5 linked regions of the Oryzias latipes genome follow. The protein of the gene in region 1 purifies or fractionates together with the protein of each later gene. This does not show direct contact. Links are inferred from orthologs where the notes say so. Each region holds a gene or a part of one and is shown in the gene's direction. Other genes may lie near its edges.

The links.
Region 2: the proteins of ppp4r2 (region 1) and ccdc6 purify together in Homo sapiens (co-immunoprecipitation; 3 studies listed by BioGRID and IntAct, counting the BioPlex papers as one, with this or other methods). This does not show direct contact. The link is inferred for Oryzias latipes from reciprocal best matches to the Homo sapiens genes PPP4R2 and CCDC6.
Region 3: the proteins of ppp4r2 (region 1) and tiprl purify together in Homo sapiens (affinity purification with mass spectrometry; 5 studies listed by BioGRID and IntAct, counting the BioPlex papers as one, with this or other methods). This does not show direct contact. The link is inferred for Oryzias latipes from reciprocal best matches to the Homo sapiens genes PPP4R2 and TIPRL.
Region 4: the proteins of ppp4r2 (region 1) and ppme1 purify together in Homo sapiens (affinity purification with mass spectrometry; 3 studies listed by BioGRID and IntAct, counting the BioPlex papers as one, with this or other methods). This does not show direct contact. The link is inferred for Oryzias latipes from reciprocal best matches to the Homo sapiens genes PPP4R2 and PPME1.
Region 5: the proteins of ppp4r2 (region 1) and dhx38 purify together in Homo sapiens (affinity purification with mass spectrometry; 3 studies listed by BioGRID and IntAct, counting the BioPlex papers as one, with this or other methods). This does not show direct contact. The link is inferred for Oryzias latipes from reciprocal best matches to the Homo sapiens genes PPP4R2 and DHX38.

Annotation. Positions count from the first base shown.
Region 1 is NC_019863.2:21,902,570-21,909,241, reverse strand, and holds the start of ppp4r2 (serine/threonine-protein phosphatase 4 regulatory subunit 2), read left to right. Parts: upstream 1-2,944; 5' UTR 2,945-3,041; coding exon 3,042-3,075; intron 3,076-3,647; coding exon 3,648-3,729; intron 3,730-6,015; coding exon 6,016-6,186; intron 6,187-6,672. Other genes in the region: gxylt2 (glucoside xylosyltransferase 2), read left to right, coding at 1,149-1,325. UniProt on the Homo sapiens protein: Regulatory subunit of serine/threonine-protein phosphatase 4 (PP4). May regulate the activity of PPP4C at centrosomal microtubule organizing centers.
Region 2 is NC_019873.2:18,422,662-18,428,993, reverse strand, and holds the start of ccdc6 (coiled-coil domain-containing protein 6), read left to right. Parts: upstream 1-1,885; 5' UTR 1,886-1,921; coding exon 1,922-2,176; intron 2,177-3,225; coding exon 3,226-3,375; intron 3,376-4,583; coding exon 4,584-4,712; intron 4,713-5,125; coding exon 5,126-5,229; intron 5,230-6,332.
Region 3 is NC_019872.2:12,961,272-12,967,620, forward strand, and holds the start of tiprl (TIP41-like protein), read left to right. Parts: upstream 1-2,373; 5' UTR 2,374-2,466; intron 2,467-3,061; 5' UTR 3,062-3,065; coding exon 3,066-3,190; intron 3,191-3,306; coding exon 3,307-3,486; intron 3,487-3,771; coding exon 3,772-3,871; intron 3,872-4,149; coding exon 4,150-4,281; intron 4,282-6,016; coding exon 6,017-6,112; intron 6,113-6,196; coding exon 6,197-6,259; intron 6,260-6,349. UniProt on the Homo sapiens protein: May be a allosteric regulator of serine/threonine-protein phosphatase 2A (PP2A). Isoform 1 inhibits catalytic activity of the PP2A(D) core complex in vitro. The PP2A(C):TIPRL complex does not show phosphatase activity.
Region 4 is NC_019872.2:16,424,644-16,430,955, forward strand, and holds the start of ppme1 (protein phosphatase methylesterase 1), read left to right. Parts: upstream 1-1,974; 5' UTR 1,975-2,157; coding exon 2,158-2,249; intron 2,250-2,904; coding exon 2,905-2,998; intron 2,999-3,549; coding exon 3,550-3,642; intron 3,643-3,781; coding exon 3,782-3,839; intron 3,840-4,252; coding exon 4,253-4,304; intron 4,305-5,042; coding exon 5,043-5,197; intron 5,198-5,343; coding exon 5,344-5,434; intron 5,435-6,138; coding exon 6,139-6,204; intron 6,205-6,290; coding exon 6,291-6,312. UniProt on the Homo sapiens protein: Demethylates proteins that have been reversibly carboxymethylated. Demethylates PPP2CB (in vitro) and PPP2CA. Binding to PPP2CA displaces the manganese ion and inactivates the enzyme.
Region 5 is NC_019861.2:20,524,679-20,531,186, forward strand, and holds the start of dhx38 (pre-mRNA-splicing factor ATP-dependent RNA helicase PRP16), read left to right. Parts: upstream 1-2,653; 5' UTR 2,654-2,905; intron 2,906-4,931; 5' UTR 4,932-4,934; coding exon 4,935-5,263; intron 5,264-5,583; coding exon 5,584-5,771; intron 5,772-6,073; coding exon 6,074-6,235; intron 6,236-6,313; coding exon 6,314-6,476; intron 6,477-6,508. Other genes in the region: cytochrome b5, read right to left, coding at 1,340-1,519. UniProt on the Homo sapiens protein: Probable ATP-binding RNA helicase. Involved in pre-mRNA splicing as component of the spliceosome.

The DNA of each region.
Region 1 (6,672 bases):
AGCAGTTTTATAGCACAATAATATAATTGGATTCTGTGGGGCTCATGTTAAAAAAACAAAACAATCTGGGTCTGTTTTTTGCTTTCTGGAATCTTTTTAGGCCCTGTCCGAATTCCTTCACTACTCATTACATAGTGCACTATACATTGCCTTCTTCATTTTGTAGAGCTGTCCGAATCTACAATTCCAAAATCCTGTGCCCTAGAAATTTCCCATAAGTCTCTGTGAAAAACCAGTGTGCACTGATGCTCACTAGATTGGCGAATATAAACCAGAGTGCATTGTGTTTGAACAATGTTTGTGAAAACATTTTATTTTATATTTATTATTAAAATCGTTTTCATCATCAGAACTCCGTGGACTCATAAACGATCATTGCAAAACTCTCATATTAATTAGATTTTCACTTCATGAAATCGATGACGTCATATTCGCCATAAAAAAAGTAGTGAGCATGGTGTCTGAATTGCTAATAAAATCCAGGGCACTACGTAGTCCTGCACTATATTGTGTTTTAGTAGTTAGGGAGTAGGGTGGGAATTCGGATATTGCCTTACTCTGACAGAGATGAGCCTGCCAAGGACAACTGGGGCAGAATTTTATTGTTTAATGCCTGAAACTGAGGGCTGTCTCTGAATTCCCTCCCTTCTCCCCAACTCCTGAAACACAATATAGTTCAGAACTTATTTACCAAAGTAAAACCTAAGAAATTCGATTGTAAATATGAAGACTCTAAAGCCAATGTTCTCATAAATTTTTAAAATTATTTAGCCATTTTCGCCAACACGCCAAAGCCCATCAATAGGCAAATTGATGATGATTTATTTTTTTAAGTATAATTTTTTTTTTTTTACCTTAAGTATGGTAAAAACAATTTTTTTTCCCGAAAAAAATTGTTTAACCGCAATGCATTGTGGTCTATATTTCCTGATCTACTGTGCATCGATGCTCATTAGTTTTAAGCAGAGACCTCAGGGACTTGTCCAGGGCACTGGATTTTGGAATTGTAGATTTGAACCCCCCGGAAAAAAAAATGGCGAACGCCACAGAAAGTGCATAAAGTAGTGAGGGAATTCGGACACAACCTACAAAATTGTCTTCCTGCAGCAGCTGGCTGGGGATCTGACGTTACGCCTTTGTCTCCGCAGTTCCCTTTCGAGGACAACATGTTCCAATCGCTGTTCTACCCGGTCCAGAGCAGGTTCCTGGACACGGTCAACACTCTGTGCGGTCGCATTCCCCAGGTCTTCCTCAAGCAGATAGAGAAGACCATGAGGAGTGCTTTTGAGAGGAAGGTGGTGCGCCATGCCAGACCTCGAAATTAACAGCCGAAGACCATGTTGCCCCACCCACACCCCCATGCTGTGCATTTAAAGCAGACGCAACCTGTGAAGGATCATGAACTCTACAGAAATAAAAAAGTAAATAAAAAGAAACCAAACAAAGAAGTCACTTTTTTATTTATGTTGAGAAAAATGCTCATCTCAAGCATTTCTAAGCGACTAAAATGAACATTTTAAAGGTTCAATTGTATGAGAGCAACTCTTGGACAGTTTAAAGAATGGTGAATATTTTAGCGTCACCATGAAATGTGAACGAACCACCACTGTCTGTATTAAATGTTTGTATGTTAAATGTTTGAAAAGCACTTTTTAAAAAAGATTTTTTTCTTTTAGACCGTGAGACTTTGCCTGACCGAGTTGGACAGATTGTGCAAGAATGTTTTATTGGAGTGAAGTTTAAACGCCATATTAATGTTCATGTGTGCCATGTTTACCATACAAAATAAATGGATTTGTGTAGGTGTGTGTGAGCCTGTAATATGAATCTGTGCTGTTGTGACCCACGTGTTACATGGAAAAGTTTGTGGAGTCTACATATGTTTTCAGAATTAAAATTTTTGCAAAAAACTAACCCATTGTGAGTCTTTTTCCCCCTGCTATTACCTTGTTTGCTTTTGTCCTGGTAAGTGGGCGGAGTCTTAAAGACACCACATTCTTTTATATGAAAGACCCACTCTGATAAAATTGTGTTTCTGTTGTTTTTAACATGTTCTCGTGGCATTTTTTCTGACGATGGAAGAAAAATATCAAGAAAGTTAAGCTTGAGATTGCATTTCTGAGTATTACTTCGTTCAAATTGTGAATTAGGAGCAGACAAAAAATGCAGTTTAAAAAAAAAATTGTGCTCCGCGTCATTCTGATTCATCTATCTAAATGTTCGTTTTCCTCGTCCGAGCTAGCATCTGGCTCAATTAGCTCCAACATTGGTCGCCATTTTTTGCTGCAACGCCACTAGGGATGTGAGGGACTGTAAGCTAGCAGGAGAGAGTGTAAATAGAGAGCTCTCAGCAAAGGGGAAGGGTCAGGGGGGTGGGGTTGCTCCGGGCCAATGGTCCCACCCACAACTCAGACATATTTTTTAATAATAATGACCAACTCTTATTTTCTTTTAGTTGCTATATTGTAATGAAATACATCAATTACAATATACGCAGCACACAGATTGGGTGACAGCTCATGGCTGCTGATTGGTTGATTTAGTGAGAAGCAAAACATACTGTATTTGTAACTTTGTCATTGTAGATAAATACATGTTTATTTGTGCGTGTGACATTTCACACACGGACAAAGCAACTTTATAGACAGACATGTTTGTTTTCCCGTTATAAAACAGTTTTACAGACGCACACATTTCTAATGACGGGTACAAACATTTTTAAAACAGACAGACAATCTGTTTTCTACAGATACTAAATCTTTCAACACACACAAATGTCTCATTACAGGTGCAAACCGTTTTGTGCAACAAATCTAACTTCATATATGCTGCTCTGCAAAAAAAAAAGTCTACTGGGAATGCTCTTTTTTTAGTTGTGTTGTATCAGTTCTCTTCTGTTTGTTGAGTTAGACTCGGGCTGTGACTTAACGACGCCATCTTTAATTACCCCCCCCCCCCCCGCCGCCTCCTAGCCTAGCTTAGCATCGGCTAGCCGCCATCCTGCCGTTGACACCCTCAGCACTAACAGAGGCGACGACGTGATGGAAATTGACTCGATTCAAGAGGCGCTCATAGGTCACTTTCTTCTCCTCATTTAACACCAAGCTGACGAAAAATATCTGATAAATGTCTGCTCTAGGTTACACTAAAAAAAGCGATAATGAAGTGGGTTTTAGTTTACGAGAGCTAGTGTCAACCGATGCTAACTTATTAGCTAGTGCTGTCTTCGAAACGCTTAGCTTTCTTTTTAATGTATTCCTTTCTTTTTTTTTTGAAATAACTAGTTAGTTCTTATAGTTAGCTTTCTTCTTTTTGTTTTCCACGCACCATGATTTCAGATGAATTAGCCGGCTAACGCTTTGGGGAAAACTACCGGCTTCCCCGTTAGGCTAAAGTTAGCATCGCAGGGCTACGATAAGCTAATAGGAACTGCTGATCAACACTTAACGAAAGGAAGGGTTCAGCGATATATATTAATTCCTCGGGTTGAGTTAAAGTGGGCATTGAGCGTTAACCAGGTTAAACTGGACGACCACAAATTAATCCGACATTCTCAGCTGCTCAGTTTGGCTAAACTGTTCGTTTTTTAAGCTAGGCTAAATCGAGACCTGTTCGTGTTCAGCCAATTTGTTAAAATGTTTCTACAGATTTTGACAAGAAATCTAAAAAGGAACCATCCCCTGTTCTGGAGGAGTTCCTGTGCCATGTTGCCAAAACTGGACAGACCATGTAAGTGTCCTTTTTCTCTCGGTTTTTCTGCTCCAGTATTTGAAACTCTTCGGTTTACTTTGAGCCTTTCACTTTCCATTGATGCTCTATTGTTCACTTTCACAGGAAATTCTTACTATGACAGTTACCTATATGCTTTTCCTAATGCAAGTTCTGCACGAAATAGGGTCAAATAGAACGGGGGAAAAGGGTCAGTCAGGATGAAGGGATCAAACTTATCTCGGATAATTCCTTGATTTTTGAGTCATTTTTGTTTGCAACCTGGTTTTCAGATTCGTGACAGCTTCTATACTATAGAGGTGAACTCTGGTTTACTTCTCAGTCTGAAGTCCATGCAGATAGCAGTTTATGGTTCGGTGTCTGCAGTTACATCCCACAGAAAACACTGCTGATATTGTATTTGGACCCATCAGAGAGTTTTTGGAGATGTTTGCGGGGGGGGTTTCCGGTCATAAGAAGAATACATCTTTGAAACTTTCCACTTTCTCCAGTTTTACCCGTGTCTATTATTGTCAGTGTTGTCGGAAACGTTCATCTGCCCCGATACCATTTCCTGCTTTTATGGAACTCAACAAATGTTGAATGTGTTGCCCTCTGCAGACATCGAATGTGTGCCGTGTTATTTTAAACGTGACGTTAAAAACCTGTTACACAGAGAATGGTGCAGCTTTACCTTGAAACTTGTGAATCCACGACCACAAAATTTTATTAAAGTTTGGTTAAAGTGAGCTTTCTTTATGAGAATTATTATGGAATAATGAGTGAAATAAATAAATGTATTACAGATGTTGGCAAAAATGAATACTTATGCTTATTACAGCTGTGTGTGTGAGGGGCTAAGTAATCAACTGTAGCATCACCAGTCGTCTAGCGATAACTTGTCTCTTCGAGAAAAGAGGTTAAAAAATAAAGGTTTTTTTTGAGGTGATGGAAAACGTTTTAAACAAATAAGAAACATACAAACTGGGTTGATTTACGTTTCCCAGCTAGTATGAGTGTAAGGTTCTTTATTTTTTCTTTCTATCGTCTAACAAAAGCCCATCCAAGAAGCTTCATCACTTCTAGTGGAAGAGGAAGACCACAAAATCAGCTTATTTATAGGTCTTTGTTTTATTCAGAATATCCCTTCATTCGGGCTTAGATTTCAGTTTCGGTGTATTTACAATAATAGGTGAAGAAATGTCGTAGATGCTGTGGAGCTACAGAATGGTAAACATACTGAGGCCATTCTAGTTCAAATATATGTTAGCTTGATGCTATATTTAGGGATACAGGAGGTTGTTGGTGTTGGTAAAAATGACCACTTCTGCTGATATTTCTGTTAGTAAAGCCTTAGTCACATGCTGCCGTACTGGGTTTGGTTTTTCCAGGGTTGTCGACCTTGAGGGACATCGTGAAAATAAAACATATGATTGTCTTGCGTGTGTTAAGCGTATTGTAAAGTATTTGTAAGGATGTAGGTTTGATGTACAGGTGCTGGTGTCGTACGGGGGCCTTACGCTACACTATTTGTTTAGTAAGGTGCGCATACTGACTCATTGTTGACGGCGTGCAATTGCTGCACACGTGGGAGTGCAGGTCATATGCAAGTGCCTGTAGGACGTCCACGGGAATTAAACTCGTTTGTTCCCCTTTCGGCATATCGTTTCAGGGGTGGCCACAGCCAATCAGCTTTCACTGATTCATACAGGTGGCAGAGATTGTTATTTCTTCTGCCACAACTCTATTTATTTCCGGGCTGGGGACCGGCACAGTGTGTGAAGGGTCTTGCCCAAGGACCCACACTGGATGAAGATCATCCAGAAAACATTATTTGCTCTTCGAGCGTTCTACGAATTTGATATTGTTTGTGGAGCGCCTGTTTGGCCCGCACAGGTTGGTCAATTCTTAACCTGCAGACAGCCTGGATCCACCCATAAGGGAAGTTATGACTAAGGCGTAAAGTGTGGCTTCTCCTATATGATTGAATGAAATGAAAGTGTATTAGAGATAAATCTGTATAATAGAAGGGTTTTCATTTGCAAAAGGTCAATATTTGGTTTATTTGAATATTTTAGAAGTTTCTATTGGATCAAACATTTTTATAGGTTGATCATATCAATGTGTTTTCAGTCATTTATACCCAAAAAACAAGTTCAGAGCTGAGAGTAGGAAAGAGCGATTAAGACTCAGAACCGAGCAGCTGGTTGTTTTTACCAAAGAAAGAGGAACATGGATTAATACTACGACAAAGGAGTACTTTACCGGTTTCCTGTTCATCCTCATCTCCTGTGTCCAACTCTCCAGGGTCCAGTGGTCTCAGTTCAAAAGCTACTTCCTGTTCAAGCTGGAGACGGTGATGGACGACTTCAGAGCGTCGGCGCCCGAACAGAGAGGCGCCGCCAACCCCAACGTGGAGTCTGTTCCATTCGAAGACATGAAGGAGAGGATCCTGAAGATTGTGGACGGCTACAACGGGTGAGTGGACGCTCCAGTTGTGCCGGCCGGCAGAGGGACGTGGAGTTACCGATCAACCATCACCTCATCTCTGAATATGAAGCTAAAGAAATGCTAAGGGAGGAATGTCATTCTTGGTCACGATTTGGGATGTAAAAGGAAGAAAAGACACCGCTCCTGACGCTTGTGGGGGGAGATGTTTGACGACTTGCTGTCCCACATAATTCCGGGGAGGAAAAAAAAAATATATTGTTTCCATCCAAAAAACAAATACAATAACGTTCAGGAGGAGAACAAACGAGTGTGATCAGATTCTCCTCCATGTTGGTTTTGGACTCCACCCACTGATCACATTACAACACGTCACTACCAGACTTGAGTTCTTGATTGGTTGACAAGACACAAATTCTTCGACTAAGTTCAATTATGTGAACTTTGGGACATTTGTGTGGCCAGAGGTTTTGACTCGCATCTGAATTTTTAAGTTGCTGTCTGTGCTGAGAATGT
Region 2 (6,332 bases), on another chromosome or scaffold:
GTCAACTTTGTTTGATATGTGTTTTCACCTGAGCAGACTTTTTGATGTACAATTCTTACTAACAGAGTGAAGCCATTGAAATGTAACTATTCTAGCACTTTGGTTATTCAATTTTAGAGACTATAGCAGCAAAGATGCCATCACCAATGTTTGGGACGTCTTTCAAAAAAAACAAAAACTTAATAAAAATGCATTGATTTTGCAGTATGTGTGTTTTTGATTTTTTTTTTTCTTTGTGTCAAAGAACCATTAATGGTAAAAATGACAGGAACTTTAAACAACAGTTCATTTCTGAGTAAAAATTTCAATTTTTTTTGTCAAAACATAACTTTCAGCCATGAGCAGAGAACCAGTTTAACGGTATAGTATTCCATAGTTCATTGAAACTCTTACCTTCTGTTTTGGTGCAATACACAACCTTATTAGGAGGGTATTTCTGGTTAAAACTAAAGCACAAGCCTTCTGAATGAGCTGCAATATTATTTAACAGTCATCCAGCCTGCATGAGATGACAGCATAACCTTTAAGACATGAATTAGGTTATAAATTGAACGATATACATTGCTATATCGTGTTTACTTGCATCATCTATAGATTAGTATTGTGGGGTTTGTAAAATAAGAAATTTGTACAAGAAAAATTATGAAAACGTAGACTGGAGGAAAAGTGTTTTTAGTCACGCAACCAGAGGCGGAGCTACAGGGGAGCAAGGGGGGCAGCTGCCTCCCCTGTAAAAAACTTTCCCTCCCACGTCTGACATAATTTCTGAGTCAACATTAGCATCAGTATTGACAAAGATTAAGAAACCATCAATACATGCTTCTTTGAGCATTATAAATGGTATCTCAGGTAAAAGAACTGCTGTTTGAATATTATTAACAATATTAAAACTGTTTGACGTGTATTTTTGATTGTTTCATTTGTAATGGCCTTCCACTCTGCTGTTCCCATTTCCCACTCTTCTAAAGTCTTTTCCCTTCTTCCTCCCTCCCCACGTAACCTTTGTGCTATCCTAGGCACTTTAACGTTGGAAGTTGGGTCATCTAGACCGACTAGACAGTCCACTGAACCTTTTTTCTTCAATGATTTGTGAACCTCACTGGTGAACACGTCAAATTAAGGGTGGGGTCATCTAAGATAGCACAAGGGTTACAATGTTCAAGCTTCTCCACTGCACCCAACAAATAGGACTACAGCAAAAACATTTTCTAATGAGTGTTAATAACGGCCTGGAATTATCAGAATCAGAATTAGAATTATTTTATTGATCCCACATGTGGGAAATTTCTGCGTTACCATAGCAGTTTGTAACCATGAAAAGAAAATGTAATAAAATGAAAACAAGTAAATGTAAACAAGTAAGATGGTATTATCATTTAAAAACTATGAATATTATGAATAGCTAACAATTAAATGGTTAATATTTGTATTAAATATTTGTCATTTACAGACTTATACAATAATGTTATAGTATAAAAAATGTCATAATATTAAGTTAAACAGCAGCTGGATGGCTCAGTGGGCTGTGTGTATGCGTGGTGCATAGGAAACAAGGGTTTGTTTCCCAGGGGGTGGGATGAGCTCGATCCAGTTTGGAAGCAAGGCCTTTCATGCTCCTGATCAACACTGCAGCCACAAGGGGGCGCAAAAAGCACGGCCAAACCAAATGTGCGACTCAGTGAAAGCTGATTCACTGTGGCGACCTCTGACGAGGTATGTTGGAAGGAATAAGATTTCAGGTTATATATAAAATAAAATTTAAATATGGGTTTACTATCTTTGTTTATATTTTTCAGTCATAAACAGTCAGGGACCTCAGTAAATGGTATACTTCCTTGTAAATTTTGGCCCTTTTGGCTTGCCATAGTATCTGCAACTGCTGTCGTCCATCCTCCCCTGCTTCACACACTGTCGCACAGCCATGGCGGACAGCGCGAGCGAGAGCGACACTGACGGTGCGGGGAGCAGTTCAGCCACTCCGATGTCATCCTCTGCCTCCAGTTCTGCAAAACCGAGCATAGTCATTTCACAGTTTCGTCTGGAAGAGCTGACAAATCGTCTTGCATCGTTACAGCAGGAGAACAAAGTTCTTAAAATTGAGCTGGAGACGTTTAAACTGAAGTGCAAAGCCCTGCAGGAGGAGAACCGAGACCTTCGCAAAGCTAGCGTCACCATTGTGAGTAACGTTAGCAAGCTAACTGCTATATGCTATCCCACGCTATAAGTACAGTTCATTTGTCAGCAAGTAAGGAATGCTCGTTTTTGTGTAATTTGCCAATAAATCACAACAATATAATAATTCTAATTTGAATGCAATTGAATTTATGTTTTTCTCTGTTTAGCTGTTTTTTAACTGTAACATTGTTGCTAAATTAGCCAGCAAAGCTGCTTTGTTTTTTTCCTTTAGCTAATTTTGGCTAACGTTAGCAAAACTGTATCAAAACGATGCCAAACTAAACGTGGACTCATCGGTACACAATTTAAAATATTTACTTTTTGTCATTTGGATTGGGAGGGTTTCTCTTTGATAACGTCGTTGATACATTAGCAAGAAGATTAAAGGTGTCTGAATGAAAATTAATAAATCAGCTACAAAAAATGTGCATGAATTGTCGCGTCGTCATGTGTCTGCATGCTTGGCCACTGAGCCACAGCTTCATATAAATGTGTAACAGATCTGTTGGATGGATGAAGAGTATGTAGACCAAACTTAACGAGCTCAACAGACTGCCAAATAACTAAGTTTGTGAGTGTGAGGAAATTAAACCTTCAAACTGTTCACTTTCTTGTAGCTGAATTGTCACCAACTATTTTGAATTCTTGTTTATTAATAGATTTTCCTCAAAAACATCTCAAGTTGTCAGTTCTTGTTAACCTTGAATGAGAGGAATTGGGGATGAATAATGAGACTGGCAAGGGCAAACGTATCATCACACTGAAATGCTAGCTGCTCCCCCAAGCCCTACACATTGCAGCCCTAATGTGTCACTCCTTCCTGCGCTGCAAGTCAGCTTATACTGCAATATCTATTGAGTCATCTGGTCAAATTAAGCTCCCTATTTGGCTTGCAGACTTCACTGCAGCAGACTGAGTGAGTGGTGTATATCTGTCAATTTCTCCTGGGATCGTTTTTACGTTTTAATCAAGATAAAAACCGCTTTGCTTTGCCATGTCCGCCAGGTCCTTTCTTTAATTCCTGATCCTATATATCTTTCCTCCCCACAGCAAGCAAGAGCGGAACAGGAGGAAGAGTTTATCAGCAACACTTTGTTCAAGAAGATCCAGGCCCTCCAAAAGGAGAAGGAGACCTTAGCAGTCAACTATGAGAAGGAGGAAGAATTTCTCACCAATGAGCTGTCAAGGAAACTCATGCAAGTGAGTTTGTTTGTGAGAATTTTAATGGCTTAATAGATTCAAGAACCGATTTATTTGATCTTTATTAATTTACTACTGTTTTTTTTATGGAGAAAAAACAGAGTTGTGTAAAATAAAAATGCCAAATAGGAAATCCTCTTCAACCTTAGTCTCTCACCTCGTTTCACATGTTTAAATACACGAGTGGGAAAATTTGGCAGTAGGAACAAAACGACTTACTTCCTTGTCTAACCTCTATAATGATTTTATTTGTTTGACTTGGTGCCACTTGACAACTTTTCAATGATATGAACCCAAATTATTGGCCAGTTATTGTGATGTGATGTGACAATAATGGTTTTCCTCTGTTGAAAATGCTGTATTATTACTGAATCATCAGTGGGTTCAACTGATTGTGGTAAAACATTTCAAATACAACACTGTTACCTTTAGTTGCCTCTTAAAAACGGCGAGTTTCTTAAAGTTTATTTAATAGAGCTTACATTTCTCTGACTAAACTAATAATAGAGACAGCTTTAAAATCTTTGTCACATATTTAAAAGTGGTAGTTAAACATTTGTTGTTCAGCCAATTGAATATGCTACCTTATAATAAAGATGGTGTGCTGGAGTCTTTTTAGAAGTCAACAAATCTATCAGTTCCTTTTCTGGAGCTGCAGGAGAAACTGTACATGTTTTGTTACGAAAGGATAGAGAGGTGGGAGTCATTTGATCTAAATTATCATTGAGGCTGTGACTAAGACCACCGTTTGTTTTGTTTCTGTCAAAATAAAGGGTTCAATTAAACAAATTTGAAATATTTTTTGTCATTTCCCTTAGTTGGATTATGAAAATTGTCATTTCCACATTTTCTCTGCAGCTTTTCCCTACACAAGTTCAAATGGCCGTCTGCATTATGACTAATCACTTGCATAATCCATTGTAGAGAGGCCCTATTTTGAATTACATTCTGCCACACCCTTACTGAGCTTCCAAAAAACTGCTATGTTTTAGTCCAAATGGATGTTTTTTTTTTCTCTCTCCATCATTTTGAAAGTATTTTGAAAATTAAAACCAAATTCTGTGATCTGACAACTGGTTTAAATGGTTTTAGCATGACTAACTATGAAATGTCTCCCTGTCTGCTTGGCTAGTCTTTTCTGTCCTTGGTTTAGTCTGTTTCACTCACGTCTTTTCATTTCTTTGCCCTTGTTTCTTTTTCCTCCATAGCTCCAGCATGAGAAGGCAGAGTTGGAGCAGCACCTTGAGCAAGAGCAAGAGTTCCAGGTTAACAAGCTCATGAAAAAGATCAAGAAAATGGAGAATGAAACCATTTCAAAGCAGCTCACCCTAGAACAGGTATACCTAACTTTTAGCAAATGTTTTAGTAAGCTTAGTTGTGTAGTAAAATATGCATTCCTAAATTCTTACCAAACGATGTTGTAATTTGTCGCTGGATTCGACCTTCCTTTCTCTTCCTTTATCACATGGATCTGTGTTTTCCAGCCACTATCGCAAATGTTTCATACTATTTTGTGCATTTTCTCTTGAAAGCAAGATTAAATCAACATGCATATTTGCTTAAAAATATGTTTCTGTCTCTGAGAAACCAAATGTAAGATTTACTTTAGAGACTCCCCACCCCAGCTCGTCTTTGAAGCTTGCCTTGGACAAAGACCTTGAACTTGAACAGGATGTTTGCGTGAAATGTTGTGAATGCTTTGCAGCATGAAGAATTTTCTGACTCTTCACATAACACTTGTGTGATACAGTTGAGGCGAGAAAAGATCGACCTTGAGAACACGTTGGAGCAAGAACAAGAAGCTTTGGTCAACAGACTGTGGAAGCGAATGGACAAACTGGAGGCGGAGAAAAGGTATTGTTTTCAATCATACTACAAGCCTGATTTCTCAAGCAATAGTTTAAGCAGAAGGTCCAGGAACTCACACATGCAGCGCACACTAATATCAATGACTTGTATTAACACAATCAAGCCATGCAGGGTTAAAAATATCAACAAATTTACTAAATATGATTCAATGATTGACCTGTAACTGGCTAGCTATTAGACAATATTATCCTGCTCACACTCAAGGTGCTGTCTCGAAATATAAATTATAACCACACTAGAAACTACCAAATTTGCCTAAAAATGCTCCACAGTGTTTTTTCAATTGTTTCTCTCCTGTTTTGTAAAAATACAGTTTATATGAGACCGCTTCATGATGTGAAAGAACGTGTGAAGTGCTGCTTTGAGGATATTCTAGCACCTCCAGTATTCTTATCTAGAGGAAGTTTCACGCCTTTGAACACCTGACAAAACAATAGCTGTCTGTAAGCATTTTAAGGTATTCTTGTGATCATCTGTGGAGATATTGAAGTTTCAGGGAATTGTCTTCAAGCATGAGCGCTTGGTTAACTTTCATGCAGTTCAGTTCACTTTTCATTTATCACTTTAGATTGTTTGGTTTTTTTTTTGCATTTTTTAATAGTTTCTAAATGTTTTCTGCTTGATCTGTGTTTTTAATTGTTGTTCTTTTTTTCATAAGAGTGACTTCTGTGTAGTGTTAGGACTTCAAAAGATCTTTTTTGTTTTTGGTGGAAGAAGTCTTTTCTTTCAGTTACAATAGTTACAAATTCTTCATTGTTTTACCATTTGCTTTGAGGACACACCTTCAAAACATCTGTTACTTCACCTGTTTGCCCACTAGGGGCATCTATGTACGTAAACAGGGTTTATTTATTGTGATGTATGTTTTAGCGTGACTATTGTGTCTGGCACGTATATGTACGTTACAAAAATAGGTAGCTTGATAAATATTAACTGTTTAAACAGTTTACTTTTTCAGTGCAAGTTCAGATTCAAATCTTTTTTTCTTTTCAATCTCAGTGTTTTTTCCAGGAAAAGGTTTTTCTTTCACTTTCCTTTCTCAGTTTCCCACCACAGTGACCTAAATCTGGGGCCGTACTTCACCTTCA
Region 3 (6,349 bases), on another chromosome or scaffold:
TCTTCCCAACCCCGAAACACAAATGTCTGCTTAAAGCAACCGAATTCCTTGACATTTTCCAAAGAAAAAGGAAAGGTGCACTCGCTGAGCACTTCATTAGGGACACTTTAATCAGCTGTTGGTTAACAGAAATCAGCCAATCACATGGAAGGGTTTTGATTAGTCAGATCTGACTGATTTTAAGTGGTTGCTTTTTTTTAAATTTCTTGTGACAAGGTTTTTTTTTTTTTTCTTGCCCAGCACCCAAACCTTCGCTAATTATGTTTACGTTTTTAAAACTCAAGAAGGTAGATCACAAGTTTCTCAACCATTTAAATGATGACATCATTTCAGGTCTGCTCCAACGCTCAGTTCGGAACTTTGTCGGCTCCCTTTAAAGCAGATCCGCTGCCATGTGATTGCCTGATGAAATGTCAGCTTTAAAGCCACACGTGTTCGCTAATATGGTGCCCAGTGAGCGTATATATGTGTATATATATATATATATATATATATATATATTCAAAGGAGCATTAAAGACAGCTAACAAAAGTGTTGTGCTGGATTTGTCAGGTTTTCTGAGTCTTCAGGTAATAAAATCAGCACAATTCATCCTGAGTTTCCAGTGGGATCGTGCTTTCTGGCAGCAAAAGGGCACCTCTTTATATATTAGCACCTTATGACCCAAACCAAAACGATCACGGACTTTATTTATATATATATTTATCTAAATATATATGAACTAAATCCATGTGTCCAAGAATCCAGTCATCAACAAAACCAAGAACAGCCATAGATGCATTATGCTTATCACCCTTCCACTTTTCTATCCGGGAGATGCTTATATACTGTTTAGATTCCTATATTAGTTACCAAAATGACTATAATACCCTTTTGTGCTAGTACTGTCTTCTTGAATGTAATCATTTTGTACCTGTATTTTTCTAACTCAGTCATGATTGTACTGTAGGTGTGCTGTGATGGTACGCTGCTCCTTCTGAGCGTTGTCTGCTCCCAGCAGCTCTCGTCGGAGGATTGCTGCTGCGCTCTGAACTCAGTGGCACACAGTGTGTGTGTTTGCGTGTGTGCGTGGGATGGGTCAGGAGGACTAACTGTACCATGTGAGCATCCATGATGAGACTGATAGCTGAGAGACTGTTACCCTCTGAGTGGTGGGCCAATAGCATTCCCTTGGTTTGATTCATCGTTTTTTTTTTTTTTATATATATTTTTTGTTTGCTTTTTCCTCTTTGCAGTAACAGTTAACATCTGTTCAGGGCAGTTTGTAAAACTCTATGATCAGAACTATTGAATGCTTGAGTTTCGTTTTTATTTATTACTGTTCCTTTTTCAAAGTTTCGACAAATAATAAAGAAAAGCGACAAAAAGCACAACTCAATATGCATCTGTTTGTACACAGACATGTAGAAGAGGATCTGCCCTTTACAGGAATGTAGACCTTTTGTTGTGACGATGTTCTGCTACATATTCCAAGTCTCTTTCTTCTGATATCATGTGCTTACTCTAATTTGTGTAATGGATGTGTGTCAAGTGTGCGCGTTTTTTTCCCTATTATTTGATGCAGCCTTGCCTTACTGGAATCCCTGCTAGTGTGGGACCCCTCAGCCAAACGTAGTCCTTCCCACAACTTTGTCATCACACTGTCTGCTGACACAAGTATCACTTCTCTAGCACCTATTAAATGACATCTAATACATCTGTCTACACGTGTGGTGTCTTTTTTAATCTGTTTTTGATTGAGCATATTTATTCTGGGAAATCGACATGTCACAGGAATCATTTGCCAAACAACGCCAACAAATAGCACTCAACTATTTACAGGTTTTAGGTATATTCCTACATTAATGACAAAGACTTATCTCACACGTGCTGATATTAACTTATTCACACAGACGGGTACACACAAGATTTGCATAACCATCAATAAACTGGTGTCAAGCCAGCCCTCTCTTCATTCCTTTTCTTGTTCTTTTTAAATATAACCGTTTTTTTGTTTTTTTTTAGAAAGTTGAAATTTTAAGATAAAACTTGTTTTAACCTTGTGTGCGTAAGTCTGCCGTTGATTAAAACGTAATTATCAGTTGTCAATCAAATCTTTACTAATGCGTCCATAAAATTCCATAAACCCGCCATTTCTGTTCTTTAAATCGAAAGCAAAAACCATTAGTTTGTTAACTAAATGATAAAATGCTTAATGTATTCAAATAAAAATAAATACATCCGAACGAAGTGGTGCTACGTAAAACATATTGGCGGCCGAAAGTCACATACCAGTACCATCATAACATATTATATGACGAAATAAAAAGCTTCAAATTTATGCTATAATAAAATAAAATAAAAAGATTTAAAATTGTTGAAAAATGTTACAGGGCATGTGGAACCATTTGTTCGGAACCCAAAACACAGCCGGACATATTAAAGTGACGCTCCCAAGCAGCATTTGTGAAAAGTAGCAAGATCGAGGTAACAATTTGTGTAAATCTTAATTTTTCACTTCTTTTAATACATTCAGTTTATTGCTTACCTTTATAACCGTTTTAAACTATCGGATAGTCGCCGGAAAACCTCCAGAACAGCGGCTTCCGCTGAATGCAGCCCTAATCAGGAACATTTAACAGAAAACTGCTTGTTAGTTAAATCAGGAGAGGAGGAGTGTGTGTTTCATTCATTTCCACCCAGTAATTAGAAACAAAATATAAGTGTGATATTTTAATGACTGATAAAAAAGCGGGGATTGTAACGGCTTTGAAAAGATACACATTGTTGTTTTTTCTGTTGCTTAATTATAGCTAATTTCGAAAATTTCTAACAAAACAGGTGAACTCGTGCACAACTGTTTAAAAGTAATAATCAAATCACTTTAAATTTATTGTTACATCATTGGATTTATTTACATGGATCTTTGTTCTGAAATTCAGTTTCATGATTGTCTGATAATTTTACAATGAGTATTTTAAATTTTCCCTCACAGCAGAAATATAAAAACTGATTGTAAAAAATTCCATTAGAACTTTGTGGAATTTAAAAAAACGTTTTCAAATGAGAATTATTTCTGTAGCTGAATGCTGGCGTCTGTGTCCAAGATGATGTCGCACGGCTTCAGGAGCAGCAAGCAGGACTTTATGTTTGGACCGTGGAAAGTGACGTCCGCCAAAAACCACATAATGAAATCCAAAGATGTGGAACGGTGAGATGCTCAGCCTAAAAACAGCTTTCTGAAAAATTATTTTTATTTCTCTCTCATAAGACTTTTTGGGATGCTTTTCAACTGTTCTTTTTTTTTTGTTACCTTCTTTGTCCCAGGTTAGGGGAGGAGATCAGCATGCCCTGTCTTCCAGAGATGCTGTTTGGAGACAACGTCCTGCGCATCCAACACGCAGACGGTTACGGCATCGAATTCAATGCCATCGATGCCCTTAAAAGAGTCAACAACATGGATGATGCTGTGAAAGTGGCCTGTGCTCAAGAGTGGCAGGAGAGCAGGCAAGCCCCGAAAACCCAATTCTTACCCACAATGCCTTTTCAAAAAGAACAGCGTGCACATTTTGTACGCAGTGTGGAAAAATACTTGGTTTGGAAAATCACAAACATGCATGAATTATTCATTTTAAAAACCATTCAGTTAATGTAGTGCTGACGTTGTATAGGTAAAAAACCCGTTCTGGCATTTCTACATAATAAAGTCTTACTGAATAAATACACAGCTGCAGATAATGGGATATTATTATCAAATATTTATAAATCTTCTTAATGTAAATCTCATTTCAGAGCGGATTCAGAGCACTCCAAAGAGGTGGTAAGGCCTTATGATTGGACATACACCACAGACTACAGGGGAACCTTACTTGGGGAGGAATTGCAGATGAAGGTTCGTATTTATTTTTTCTTTGACCCTTGTGCTATCCTAGGCACTTTAACATTGGGAGTTGGGTCATCTGGACCCACTAGACAGTGCTCTGAACCTTTTTTCTTCAATGATTTGTGATCTTCACTGGTGTCCATGGATTACATGAAATCTTTCCACCTTTATCCACCTTTGTCATGGTAGGGAGAACACGTCAATGGAAGGGTGGGGTCATCTAAGATAGCACAAGGGTTAACAGAAGATGGTTTTAGTGAGTTTGCTTTAATATTTTTTTCGCAAAGGTGACGGAGACGTCGGAACGAATCGACATGGAGAAGCTGAAAGCCCGCGAGAACATCATGTTCTTCGACGAGGTGTTGCTGTTTGAGGACGAGTTACACGACCACGGCGTCTCAAAGATCAGCGTCAAAATTGTGAGTTTTGTCCCACGCGGCCGTCAGAACTATCACATCCACCTCCATTTGGTCAACGCTTAGAAGTTTGGTGAACGATCAGAGTCGTGAACGCCATTTCCTGATCCAATCAAGGCTCTGCCACAACAAGAGCTTGTTGGAAAATAGTGAGAAATATTGACATTATTTTCCTCTTCATCCTACTGATTAAAGAATGCAAAGAGCAGATTAAGAGAAACCACAAAAAACTTTATTTTGCTAAAAATATCTAGACATGTAAGTTTTGCTTTACACAGATAAAAATCACAAAGTTGTAATTTTCAACAGTTTTCATAAATATGACAGCAGAAAATAAAAAAGGGAAAATCATTTTAAACCCTTTTTATTTATTGAAAGGCTTTTTAGAGACTGGCAGTAAAAAGAGCTTGTTTTAGAGAAAACAGATAAGAACCTAAGCTATAACTTTCTATCTGATTTACAATCAAGTACAAAACAAGCAGCGACTAATCCAGAAGGAAATCGTTCTAACTATGATGCAGTAAAGTTACGATCAGTGATAATGTTCATTTTAATGACTATTGTCTTTAATCTGGTTGATACGATGAATAATGATTATTTGTGTTTGTACTTATTTGACGTCAGAACATCAGTTGCCACAACCTCATCATCATGCAGACTTTTTCGAGCTTTTCACGCTAACTTTAGAGAAATTGACTTTAAAGTTTTATTTTGTATTTCTTGTCCCCTTCTTCTAAAGTCTTAGAAATAAAATTAGTTATTTCACCGCACCTGAAAAGATTTTCTTTTTTTAACTTTATCTCCAACGCAAAAAGTTTTTTCCTTTAAAAAAAAAAAAAAACCTTTAAAAAGTTAAAAGCAAAAAATGTGTGCATTGTTTAATGTAATCTCAATAGTTTTTCTATTCTTTATTGTAAATTTGGACATCGTTGGATCTTTAGTGCATAAATGTTTAAAAAAGTCTAAATTGGTCAGGTCATGGGTTGTGTGTGCTAATAACAATAAAAAAAAAAACACAAAAATAATTAGTGTTGTTGTGGTCTAAGTGTTAGGCAGGCAGGATATACTTAATGTTTCTGGAGTTCTTTAAAAAGAAAAAAACATCTTTTGTCTGCAAATATGTGCATAACTTTGTACTAATTTGTTTTTTTTTAATAACTGCAGCTAAATTGAGCCAAATTGGTTCATTTTTACACCATTCACCGCACCGTTTTTGCTGCAATTTAGCATTTAAAGACCCATTCGATCATCCCTTTCCCGTCACCCATAACTGAGAGCTCTCTGTTTACATGCTGTCCCACTAGCCTTTCAGCTACCTACCACCCTCAACCTAACATTACAGATGCAGCGATAATGGTGATCAGTATGGGAGCCATCCAGACGTTCAGTTTTAATGCAGATTCCAGCTCAGACGAGGAAAACAAAGACGCTCATGGATCTATTTGTCTGCAAGTGGCTGCATCAGAATGGAGCGGAGCAGGAAGCTTGTGACCCGACTAGCACATTTTCTACATCTCAAATTGGCTCTTTTTCAAGCTGCATTTTTTCATCTGCCCCCGATTCACAACAATTTTAACAAAGAAATACTCAGAAATACAAATTTATTCTTAATGTTCTTTAAACGTGTCCTCCATCATGAGAGAAACAACGTGCTAAAAAAAATAATTTTCATTGGAGTTGGTCTTTAAAGAATCTTCTTGATCGTTTATGTCTTTGGTGTTGTTGTTTTTTTATGCAGAGGGTGATGCCCACCAGTTTTTTCCTGTTGATGCGGTTCTTCCTCCGCGTGGACGGAGTGTTGATAAGAATAAACGACACTCGGCTGTATCATGAGGCAAGACGCTGTGAAGGAGACGATTCATCTGCAGCCGGAGTTCATCCTTTACAGTCAGTCATGGTTTTTGCTTTTGTGTTCCAGGCTGGTAAGGACTACTTACTACGAGAATTCAGCACAAGGGAAAACAAAATAGCAGAACTGAAGGTGAGAAATGACAAACTGTTATGTGAAAAAATATATATATATACAGTCTGAGCAATATTTCAGCGACGTCATTTCTAGTTTAATCAGTAG
Region 4 (6,312 bases), on another chromosome or scaffold:
GAAGTGTTTAACTTTTTAAAAATGCAACTTTCTTCTTTAATTAATTGATTTAATTAATGTATTTTAACATACTATTACTACTGTTTAATGATTTAAAAGCAAATAAGCCAGACTTCTGCAAGCTGGCATGAAAAAGCCTCACATTTTCAGCAACTTGTTAAGGCCATGATAGGGGACTGCAGACAGTTGATGTCCGTTTTAGTCCTCATCTTTCAATTCAGGTCTACCATGGTTCTGACTGGGTCATCAGGCATTCTTGTTAGGGGTTGAGAACCATTCTGTTTGTGGGTTTTGCTGTTGACTCGCTTCAGTCTTGGATTGGATTGTTGAACCCTGTAAATGTAGCATCATATTCAAATTAAAGGATTCTGGGGTTGTTTTTCAGTAACTACACTTTAAAAGCATCCATAAATCCCTGATTGTATGAGACCCCTCTCTCCTGCCAGTCCAAAAGTACTGGTAAAATATTGTTGAAAGTAGTCCATGAAAGTCTGGTCCCAGTAGTCCTCTTCTCGTCAGGATGCCCTGGTTTGCACAAACCTATCTGAGCTGGCTAACCAGGTTGGCATTTGATCTGGCATGACTTATGATTAAAGCGTTCTCTAATTGGACAGCTGAAAGCTTGTTATCAAAAAATAGTTTATATGGGTCAATGGCAAACACCTTTATGTAATGTCACGTGACACTTTCTAAAGTTTAAAAGTAACATCTCCTAAGAAAACTTCTTTCTGTATACCCCCACACCTTTTTTTCACATTTAAAATTTGGTCTATGTTATAAATTCTAAGGTATCAATGTAATAACTTCACTACAATAACATACTGACGTGTTTATTGCAAACACAGACAAAGAATTCAACTATCTTGCAGTTTTTGGTGATTTATGGCTCAATGAGTTCCAAGCAGCTTTATGTTCTCCAGATAGAGCTGCCGTTCTGCACATTTATTTACTTTACATGCAGTCCAAGACAAGGTTTGTTAAAAGAACAATTTATTTTTACAATCATTCAATTCAAATAATAATTTGTGGTTGGTGATGTGATTCATAGTCGATATTGGTTAATTTTAAACGGTCCGATTTGATCTAAGTCAATGGCCTAAAATGGATCCAGGGAATCTTTAACAAAAAACTTAACCAGTGTGACTGAGTGATAAATACCTGGATACTAAACAGTGCAGGTGAAGTTTTCCAGATTCCTTGTATTTCTTGCAAGATAATCAAGTGTAAATTAAATATAAGAACAAACAAACAAGTAAACAAGAATTTAAGGTAAATCCATTCACATTTTAGTTTCCTGAAGTTCAGCCCACTATTGTTACTCCACATCAAAATAATACAAACAGAACCTCATTAGAACATTCTATCATACTGTACGGTCATATGTCTTTCCTAATTTCAAAGTGGAATGATGGACTGTATTTCTGCATTTTCCAACGTTGATTAAAATGGCATTATTTCATTTTGAAACAATGTTATGATGCTACAGGTGATTTTATTTGATTCAGTTAACAACTTCCCTTAACATATCGATCTGGTTGGATTGTAGGAGTATAAATCGATTAATAGTTACATCCCTAAATATTATCAGCTCAGTAAAGAGTGAGAGAAGGAAAGACAAAAGTTCAATTTTTGTGATTCAGAAAAAAAATACTGTTAAATATGTTGTGAAAATGCGTATAAACAAATTGTGACACATCACATCATCACTGTAATGAGTGAGGGACTAGCGTTTAATATTAACATGCCTTACAGTGTAAAAGGGAGGGAGCAGAAGAGAAAAGACTTTTCAGCCGATTACCAGTCTAATGGACGACAACTTGTTGTTTTTAAGACACGATTTTAATCATTGAGAAAAATGAATATTTTATAAAGCACAGAAAAAGCTTTGATGATTACTTGTTCATTCGTTGGAGATATGAATGTACTTTTTTTACCGCTAGGTGGCAGCACTTTCAAAAAATGAGTAGAAAACCACCTCAAAACTACGCAGAACAAGAAGAAAGACGGAAAATACAAAGAAGCCGTTAGCCTGTATGCTATAGCGATTCATCAAATGTTTGGTTAACGTCAGTACAAGTGTCAGAAACTATCTTATGCAGCAAAAGAAAGGGAAGGCTATATTAGACATCTCTTGACAGAGCGCTCTTTCCTCACAGCATGGAGAAACAGTTGCATTTAAACCTGCTGGCCTCCAGACCTCCAATGGCTGGTCCTGGTGGATTTCAGTCTGGCTCTAAAATCAAGATGGGGTGAGAAGCTAACAGTTCATAAAACGTTAAAGGGTTTTTTTATATCTACATTTGCGTGTTATTCTTCATACCTCTTGTCAAAGCCATACTGTGAACTTTTGTCTGAATAATAGCTCGCCGAAAAGCCAGACACAGCTGAAGGAAAACCAATATTTAGTTAGCATTTAGGCTAGCCTAGTTACCGCTTATAGAGTAGGCACGACCCGCCTTCTGCAGCTGCTGCAGAGGTTTTTTTATACATATAACTCCTTTGAGTTAACAAAGTCTAGCTGATGCTGTGTAGAGCTTATCGTTTTCTTTAAGAAAAAAATCAGAATATATATACGTACTTGTTATGTTCTGATCCAGGAGACCCCCGTTACGCCCACCAAAGGATAAACAAAATCTAGTTTACAATACAGTTTTACTGATTTAATCCAAAAGTGTAATTACATTCTTATGAAGATGACTCTTTCATTAACTTCGTTAAAGTGGTTCGTTTTCTGCATAAGTCGTGCCTCTAAAGGGGGCAGCTGTGTGTCAGCCAGCAGAATAGAAACAGTAATTTACTAATGGGTAATATGGAGTCAAACCACAGTTTGGAGGTACAGATAGTATGTATATTGTACATAATGATTTCCCCCTCATTTTTATTTGTATTTATATTTTTTTATAGACCTGGCCGGAAGAAAGATTTTACTCCACTGCTTTGGAGTCAGTACTTTGAAACCATGGAGGATGTTGAAGTGGAAAATGAAAATGGCAAAGATATATCCTTCCCAAAATCTCTGTTTCACAAGAATGCCGTGACGATTTTTTGTTGTTTTGATTTACGCATATCATGGAATTAAGATTCAAATGCTTTTCAAATTCTTCGTCTAGGCCAGGGATCTGCAACCTTAAGCAGTAAAGGAGCCGTTTGGGCCTGTTTCTTGCTGATCAAAATCTCATTGGAATCACAAAGTCTTATTTTGCCCTTTAGGAAAAGTTGATACTACTTTATTTTTGGCTTGAATATAGAGCAAAAATATAAAGTGAGAGTAGCTTTTTCTCAAAGTGTGAAATTTTTTCTTTTTCTTTCTTACTTTTGACAGAAGCTTGTATGACTTCCTTTCAAAATTAGACTTCCTGTGCCGAACAGGGTCATCCTATTGCAACTAATGTTCTCCTAAAAAGGTTTTAAACAACGCAACAGCATCTTTTTTGTGCAACATGAGGCTCCGGAGCCACATTGCAGACTCCTGGTCTAGGTTTTAGTTTTGCTTAGCGTTTTAATGTAGTGCTTACAGCCTTGCGTTTTGTTTTCTTGACCGCACAACACATTTTCAGAATTTACTGCAGTGGTTCACTTGGTCCTGTGCTGTTGCTGCTCCATGGAGGAGGCCATTCTGCACTTTCTTGGGCAGTGTTTACTGTGGGTATCATTACCACTGCATAATCCCCTATTCTTAAACAGTAATCGTACACCAATATAACGAGTAATAATAACAATATGTGTGTTGCAAGACTGCCCAGAATACAGATTGAAATGACCTCTGTATATGTCTCTACAGTCAGTCATATCCAACATGATTACCTGTAGGGTGGTTGCCATGGACTTGCGAGCTCATGGTAAGGAAAATACTCTGTAGGCTTTGGAACAAATGACTTTTTCCCATTTTTTAAATGTAAAATAATTTCTGTAGAACTGACATTTTTCTGCAAAAATGATGGAATAAGTTTTCCAATCATTACTCTTTAAAAAAAAAAAGAAAACTAATCTGAGATTGTCACGGTAAGATGAGAAAGCTTGGGAATCCTTTCAGGTGATTTTTAACTAACAATTTTATCCACCCTGTAGTATATTCTCCAGAAAGACTAACATTCTCATTCTCTGCAATACATTGTGAGGAATTTTAACTTTTTTTTTTTTTTTTACTCTACACAAATGTGTTTATATATAAATTTAGAACCAATGCTTTGCTTTTTTTTTTTTGTTTGGTAAGCGTAACAAGAAATTCTGAAACTCGTCTTTAAACCTGCAGGTGACACCAAAGTAAAAAATCCTGAAGACTTGTCGGCAGATACCATGGCAAAGTAAGATACCGTTTTGTAAATACTATCTCTTTTTGTCTGAAGTGGGTTTATAGTTTGTTTGTTTGTTTGTTTATTGCTGGCTTATGTCCAAGAAATATATGAAATCCTATAAACTGGCTATATATGGAGTGATTAAACTACCAAAAAAAAAAGATACGTTTTGGGTTTTTTTATGCAATTGTATTTTTCTTTCAGAGTTAGTAATGTACCAAGTTAATCTGTTTTTCTTGTAATTATGTATTTCTTGTAAACTAGTAAATGAAAAAGGGAACCAATTGTTGCCACCTGCTAGACTGCTGCTGATTTGGAGTAATATTGTTGGACACTGTCAAGAAAATGAAAGATTTTCAAAATGAAATAAAGTGTAAGGAATTAAGTACAGAAATGCAAAAGCAAAACAACAACACAATTTTTGTGTATGTCGTCTTTATTTTAAAAAATCCTTTTTGTAGCATTTATCTTTTTTGACGCTACTCTTCAGATGTCACCTCCACTTGTTAATCCCGTTTCTTCTTCTTTAACTCGTTATATTTTTAGTACATTTATGTAATCGTGCCAAATTAGTAAAATGAATGAATTTCTGGCTGGGGCGAGGGAGGTCTGGGCATCTCTTTTTAGACTGCTGCCCCCGCGACCCGGTCCCGGATAAGCCCAGGAAGATGGATGGAATGAATTTATTTGCTCTGCTGTGTTTTTAAACGGTAGACACCTTTTATTTTCTTATTTGTTTGTTGTAAGGGATGTCGGTAAAGTGGTGGAGGTGCTCTATGGCGAGAATCCACCTCCAATCCTGATTATTGGACACAGTATGGGCGGGGCCATCGCGGTCCATACAGCCACGGCCAATTATGTACCATCACTGCTGGGTCTGTGTGTCATTGATGTTGTGGAAGGTAAACTTGATTCTGTTTTGAAGTTTCCATAACATTTTTGGAGGGTTTATAACTGTTTTAAATAATACAACAGTAGCAGAACACCAAGGAAAAGCTGGATGACTCTAGACTTTTAATGGCCATTAACAATATTTTTAACCATTCAGGTACGGCAATGGATGCTTTGAACAGTATGCAGAATTTCCTCAGAAGTCGGCCAAAGACTTTCAAATCGCTGGAGAACGCCATCGAGTGGAGGTAAAAAGCAGACACCTACTCAAGTGGTGAAGGGCTTGTTTTGAATTTAAAGTTCAAAGTGTAGTTTGAAACTTGCAGAAGAGGATTAAGACCATGCAGAATTATTTGATTGATGAAAAGTACTACAAGTATTTATAGTCAATTGAATGGAAAGTTTTTACCCATTTGGTCTTTACTTAAGGTAAAAATCTGAATTAAATTATAATCAAATCAATACTGCATTTAAGGTTTAGAACATTTTTAGGATATCTTCTGTTTTATAATCAGTTTTAAAGCTGTTATAAATAAAATGCAGTCCTTTAAAGAATTAAATTGTCTCCTATATTTTTAATTTAGCCTAAAACTGAATTGAAACAAACATTTTGAATCCTATCAATAAGAATTCCCACACGTATCAGAACAAATAGATGCATTTCCTTTCTAACCAACACTTTATGAAATATGTATTACACTTTCTTCAATAAGTGTCCAACAAATGGAGACTTCTTTAGTATTTAAAGCAGTCAGTTGAAATTAGCAACATAAAGGTTATTTTTAATAACTAATCAGTTTTTTTTGTTAATCACCGTTATGTATTAGCTATGTTAACATACTATCCTCAATAACATTAAAAGTAAGTTTTGATTACTTTAAATTAGTCTTTGATCTCACTTAACCACATTCAAACATTGATTGACCGGTGTCTGAAATGTTTCTGCTTCCAGTGTGAAGAGCGGTCAGATCCGGAACATCGAGTCAGCACGAGTGTCAATGGGAGGCCAAGTGAAGAAGTATGTCTGTTCTAGTTTAGACATTTGAAAGCCCTGAAGGTTTCACCAAGTTAAGTGTATTTTTCTTTGCCTGCTGACCTTCACAGATGTGAGGAGTCATCTAGCAGT
Region 5 (6,508 bases), on another chromosome or scaffold:
ACCACCCCCCGCCCCCACCCCCACCCACCCAGTTACCCCAGAAATTTAAGGCTCGGCTCTGCTGTGAGGAAACAGTATTTGGGAATCCCTTTATACCAGGAACCCACTCTGCCATAGGAACATCGCCACAGTGTCCACCCATACCGGGACAGCAAAGGAGTCCAATTCCCAGCCGTGAGGCTGCAAAGTTAAACTCCGGCTGCCCCAGCAAGGGCAGCTGGAGTTTAAGCACTTATTTCTGCTGTACAAAAAGTGTCTTGCATTAATAAATAATGTGCATCTTTGGATTCATTCATTCAGTTGTGTTATTTAAATTTATATAAAAAGGGGAAATTATTTATCAAGACATCATAAGTCTGTGATCCAAAATGGATCATCATGGAGATAGTGGGATGTTAGAGATGGGGGAAAAAGAAAGGGACGAAAATGGGGGTTATAGAAGTTGAAGGATGGCTAAAGAAGTATGAGGCAGTAGAATCACAAAGAAACAAGTTGCTGGAGGTTTATCGTCATTACTGTCAGGTGCAGATGCTATTCAAAAGGGCTCGGCCTGTCACCAGACACACTCAAATATTACAAACATACCTTCACACACATACATCTTAATACACTGTGGCTCAGATGTGACGTGATCCACGGCTCATGGCCTAGCCAGAGAACTCAGGGATCCCCCTTTTTGCCAGAAGAGAGGGCAGCAAGGCCTGGGACAGTGGGGTAGGGGACAGAAGGTCACTGATCCCACCTTGTGTAATGTGTGTGTGTTTGCTTGAGTGTATTAAGTGGTGGAGTAAAGGGATGTGTGTAATAAAAAGTGTAGTTAAAAGTAGTTGGCTGGTAGAGAAGGGCACAGTGAGGACTTATCCTATTTTGTGAGCAGGTTTGATGTTTTTCTAATTGTACCTTTTCCTGATTTTAATGTTTTTCTATTTCTTCATATCAAGGAGAAACCACAATAGAGTCCACACCCAGATCTTATGAAAGGACACCCTGAAGGTGCACTGAAGTTGTGTGGAGTCATGATTGTCCAATGTACATGTTATTATCTCTCTTTGATTTAAGAAGAACCAGGGGTGTTTGAATGCTAACATTCACTTATGATCTTTATAATCAACCATTTCTCTTTTGAAGGGCGGTTCTCTGCAAGGCCTACTTATTTAAGATAAGGCCATTCCGAGGACTGGTCTCCGATAAGAACTTGGCAAGTTACTCTCTAACTCTTGGTTGTATAATGGCAACAGAGAAGAGTAAACCAACCATTTTTCAACAAAAAACATTTTGTTAATGCATAAAAAAGACAAAACATGTATTGTGAACTGAAACAAACAGAGCCTCTTCTTACCTCTTCTACGAAACTCGAGATGTCGTATACCTTATCGTGGATTACCAGCCATGTGTCATTGATCATGTTGTGTACTCTTATCTCCTCTAATGTAAAGTATTTTAAGGCATTGTCGACGGTTTCACAATGGTCACTATTTGTGCTTTTGCCGCTCGACTTTAAGTTAGCCTCCTCGACCATTCTAGCGAGATACAAAAAAAACAAAACAAAAAGTCGTCTAGGTGTTGGCTAATGTTAGCCTATGTTAGCCAGGTATGGATTTAACGACTGCGACTTCAACGGTGTTCTAAAAAAGACGCAACTGAAGGGTAGCTACTTAATGTTTTCACGGGTACAGCGAATAAGAACGTAGAAAGGCAGAAGTAGACAGCGCCACCGTGCTGTTTATTACGAAATCATGAAACAAACCGGTACACTAGAAGGGACGTAGAACTGACCAATCATGTGTGTTCTAGTTTGCCAGCAGACCCGTGGTCATCAACCAATGAGTGGGCGAGATTTTGAGTGGTGGCCAATCAGATCAGCCACCTTGTGATCATGAGACCAAAGAAATGCGCAAAGGTTGTCAAGTGTGTGCTGTCATTGCGCATGAGAACATGACTTGCGTTTTTCGTGGCGTGAATAATGTTGTTAAAAAATCTGGGTAACATTTTATGGTTTGTAGTTTTTAATATATATTTTAAAAAAGGTCTCCTCCATCCATTCGAAAATTTGCAAAACACAAAGTAGGCAGCAATACATCCAGTTTCCATATTTTCCTGCAAGATAACCTTGGGCCAGATTTATTTTTTCTTTTGGGGCAAAATCATTTTTATTTTAACTTCATAGAGTAAGTTTCTTTGAAAAAAATACACTGACAAGTCACTACTTAAAGGATATAAAGTAAACTTTGGCTAAAAGACATACTTAGAGCAAGTGAACCAAAACTGTAGTAGTGTGGTGAAAGAAAACATAAGCCACAGATGCTGGTAAACAAGTGTAAACCTTAGTACGCCACACAAATAAATAACTCGTCCCCCTATATTTAAAAATAAGGGACAAAATGACCCTTTTAAGAATAACTTCTGTGTGCAGGAGACTTTTAGGGAACAAAAAAATATAAGTCCACGTCTGTGGTGTTTAATATATAGCTTTTTCTACTAGCTTTTTTCTATGTATCTGCCGTTGCTGATTATGTGAACAAACGGTAAGCCGAATATTCGTGTCCTGAAGACAAAAAAGAGATTTTAAGTTGTTTTAACAAATTTTTATTTTATTTTATTTTTTAGAATGTCCTGTGGGTGGCAGCATAGACACTGCAGGCATGTGTAGAAGAAGAACAGAGTGCATTGTGGGATTGAAATGGCTGTTTTGGCGTCTGTAAACATTTGCGTCGTATATACGAATTTACGTTCTACTTGTTGTCTCTGTCTTCAGAAGTGAACAACATTGTCGTCTGATCTTGAAGTTCGTATGAAGGTTTTTTTCATTTGGCTCCCAGAAATAGAAGTGGCGGTGTTCTATCTTCTGGTGCTCTATGCTAACAAGTAGCTTTTGGGAAAGCTAACGGTAGCTGTTCGGCCCGAGGTAGGTCCAATTCATTTACAATAAACTGCAGTGAATAACAGTAAAAATCAAATATTTATAATCGCTTTTTGAGCAGGTCAATGTGCGTAAATTCACCATACTCAGTAGACTATGTTCAAAATCAGGTTGATCAAGGTGATTTTTCCATCAACACTTTTAGTTTGAATTATTTTCATGCGAGGAGGAGGAGGAGGAGGAGGGGGGGGGGTGGCAAGGGTTTTTGTTTCCATTTTTATTCAGGCTAAAAAAAAAGGTTTGATTAACCGAATAAAGCCAAAGTAATCTATGAATCGCAAATTAATTGTAAACATTGAGAAATTGTATAATTGCAAAGCAATATACCATGGTAAATGCGCCTTTACAAGCACAGCAGGTTTGCCTATTCCTTTTTTTCTTCTTTTTTGCAAGTCAGTCATCTAACTGAAGACTATAATTGATTTTAATTTTATATTTTCCTAGTTAACAATTTACTCTGTCGGTCAACAGCTTTAGAACATCTAAAATCCACACGATTTTAAAGAATTCAGGGCGGTAATTTCCAAATAATAACATGAAATGGTTACAAGTTCTTGCCAGCTAATAATAATAAATATTCATATTTAGCCATAATAATTATGGCTAAACTAAGAAAGTACAGATTTCTGAAATACACAAAATGTCTACTACCATGAAATAGATTAACAGTTTAAAGCTAGATGTTCATCAAGACTTAAAAATAATTTGTACAGGTGTTCCTACTTTTTTTGATAACGTGCAACATTCTCAATCTTCATGAGAGCAGGGAGTAGTTAAACAGTGTTTTACATCTAAAAGTATTTTTTTGTTTTCAAAAGAAAAAGCAGAAAAAAAACGACAATGGAAGAGACACAGCCCATCAAAACACCAAAAAGTGTAGGTATTTTGTACAGACAAATAAAGAAAGTCAAGGCGTCAGTGAGTTTTATTGTATAAAAATATAATTGTATTCATAATCAAAACGTGCACAGAAAGTTGGGAAAACTCTTGAAAGGAAAAAGTCTGGAAGATCCAAAGTCGCCGCTGAATTGGTGAACTCATTTTGTGGGACTTAACAGGCAGGTTAAGGTTCAACAGCTTTTCTACATAAGGTATTGATCAATTAATAAAATGTTGAAATATTTGCTTTGTGTCACAGAATCTTTGTCAAAAAGGTGAAGCAAAGGCTCCACAGTCTGTGATACCAACTGTCAAACATAGAGGAGGATATGTGAGGGTATGGATCTGTTTTTCTGGGCCCAGGCTCAGTGGGTTGCACAGAGAGGAACCTAAAACCAACAGAAACTACGGCATTCTAAGCTCACTACTTTTATTTTGTTGTATACATTTAGTTGGTCAAGGGCTAATCCTTCAACAACATAATGACTCCAAATAAAAATCCAAGCATTGCCAGAACTACCTTAGAATAAATAACAAAATGGTAATCTTTGAAACATGGAGATCCCTGCACATCCTTCAAACTTGTGGATGGAAAAGGAAAAGCAAAGTGGCAAGCATTTATGTGAACCCCTGCAGGAGGCCTGGAGATGCGTTTTTAAAGAGTTTCTGTTGCAGAAAGAATGCCTGACTCTGTTTAGTGGCTATATCTATAAAAAGTGGCTACTTTAAATAATTAAAAGTTACATTTTAGCTTGTAAATTCGCTCCAGGATTTCCACTTTCTAATTTCTAATATTCTTAAGATTGCGAGGATAACAGACATAATAATAATAATAATAATAATACATTTTATTTCAAGCGCCTTTATAATACTGATTACTTTCCAATAAAAACTGGAAACATGGGAGTGTTCTAAAACTTTTCACTGGTTGTGGAACTACTTCGTTTTTTATTTTTTTATTTTTTACAAATTAGAAGTTTCAAGCAAATACTTGTTAAGTTTTGCATCTATTCATAGTAAACACATTATTTGTAGTTTCAGTGAACTTATAAATGTTAAGTGCTCTCATGACCAGCATATCAAAAGTGCTGTTGTTATTTGTTATGCTCAACTTGTCTGTGTTTGCTGTCAGAGGATGGAGGAGGAGGATGTTTCCATGCATAGGCTGGAAGGGACCAGTCCAGAAGCTCAGGTTGGCGGTCTGATTGTAAAGAAAAAGAGTACTGCTGCAGAACCTCATGTTTTTCGAGCACCTACACCACGTACATCTTTGCTGGGCTTGGATCTACTGGCTGCCCAAAAGAGAAAGGAGCGGGAGACCAAAGAACAGGAACAATTCAACTGCGATGAAAGAGACAGAAAGAAGTCAAAGATTTCTTCCTACAAGGACTGGGAAGAGGGTAAAAGTGACTCCGGCTCTGATGAAGAGGACGACGAAGAGAATAAAAGTGCCAAGAAAGAACGGTAATTTGAAAAAATTAGATCTTTATGAAATTAATGCCCAATGTTTGGCTCCCCAAATGATTTATACTAGGTTGTTTTTATTATGAAAATGAACAGTGTCTATACTATATTCTGGATGTTATAACATTTCTCTTCAATTTTAAGTATACATAATCATTTTACCCATGCAACATTTTTATTAAAAACAAAAATGCCTTGTGTATTGCATTCTTTTTTCACAAATTACAGCTTGCAGTCAATATTTCTCCATGTGAAGTGAATTTTTGTGTACCGTAGCCCATCTTTAACAGTGCCTCCTGGTATTGCATGTTTGCTTGTAGGAAGTATCGAGTGACGGGGTCTGAGACACCGTCCAACCCTGGAGGAGTCAGTGAAGAGTTCAGACGCAGACACCAGCAGAGGGAGAAGGACAGGCGAGAGCATGGGGTCTATGCTTCTTCCAAGGAGGACAAGAGGAGAGACAAAGACAGGAGCAGAGATGGTAGCAGGGAGCGACGGAGTGAAAGAGGTGATTCTACGGATCATTTGGTCTTCATCCATAAAGTTGTGCTGTAATAGATTCAAATATTTGACTGTAAATTTAGTGAAACATTAGTGGAAACCAAAAAAATCTTGACCCTGCACCCTGTCCCACTTTTTTACTTTTACATTTTTATTCGCTTGTGATACACAGAGCATACATTCTTTTCTACTGTAATGCCATCATCAAAGCACCACAAATTAAGTTTTTACAAATATTGTTTGGATCTGCTAAAGAGAGAAGGATCATTTAAGTGTGTTGACACAGCTTTGGTTTTGACCGTGTTGTAGATGAGAGGGAACACAGCCACGGACGTGGTAGCAGCGGCAGTCGTTCGGAACGTGGGGAACACAGCGAAAGGAGCGAGCGCTCGCAGAGAGATGTATGGTCGGAGCGCATCAGCCGAGGGAGTAAAAGAGATGAACCCTCCACACCGCTGCAACGCCCCAGAGGTTTGCCTTTTTTCTGACTGTTTCTCCAGATGAATTTTTAATGTAGCTGCTGGAAGTCACCTTCTTTTGTTTTTACAGATTCTTTCACACCTTCCCACTCCAACTGGGATGAGGACGACAGTGGTTACAACAGTGTGAGGCATTCCCAGTGGGAGTCTCCATCTCCTTTTCCATCTCCAAGAGATTCAGATCGCTCAGAAAGAAGCCATCGCTCTGGACGAGAAAGTGAGAGGAAGGACAGGTGAGTGACTCCAAAACCTTACCTCCATTATG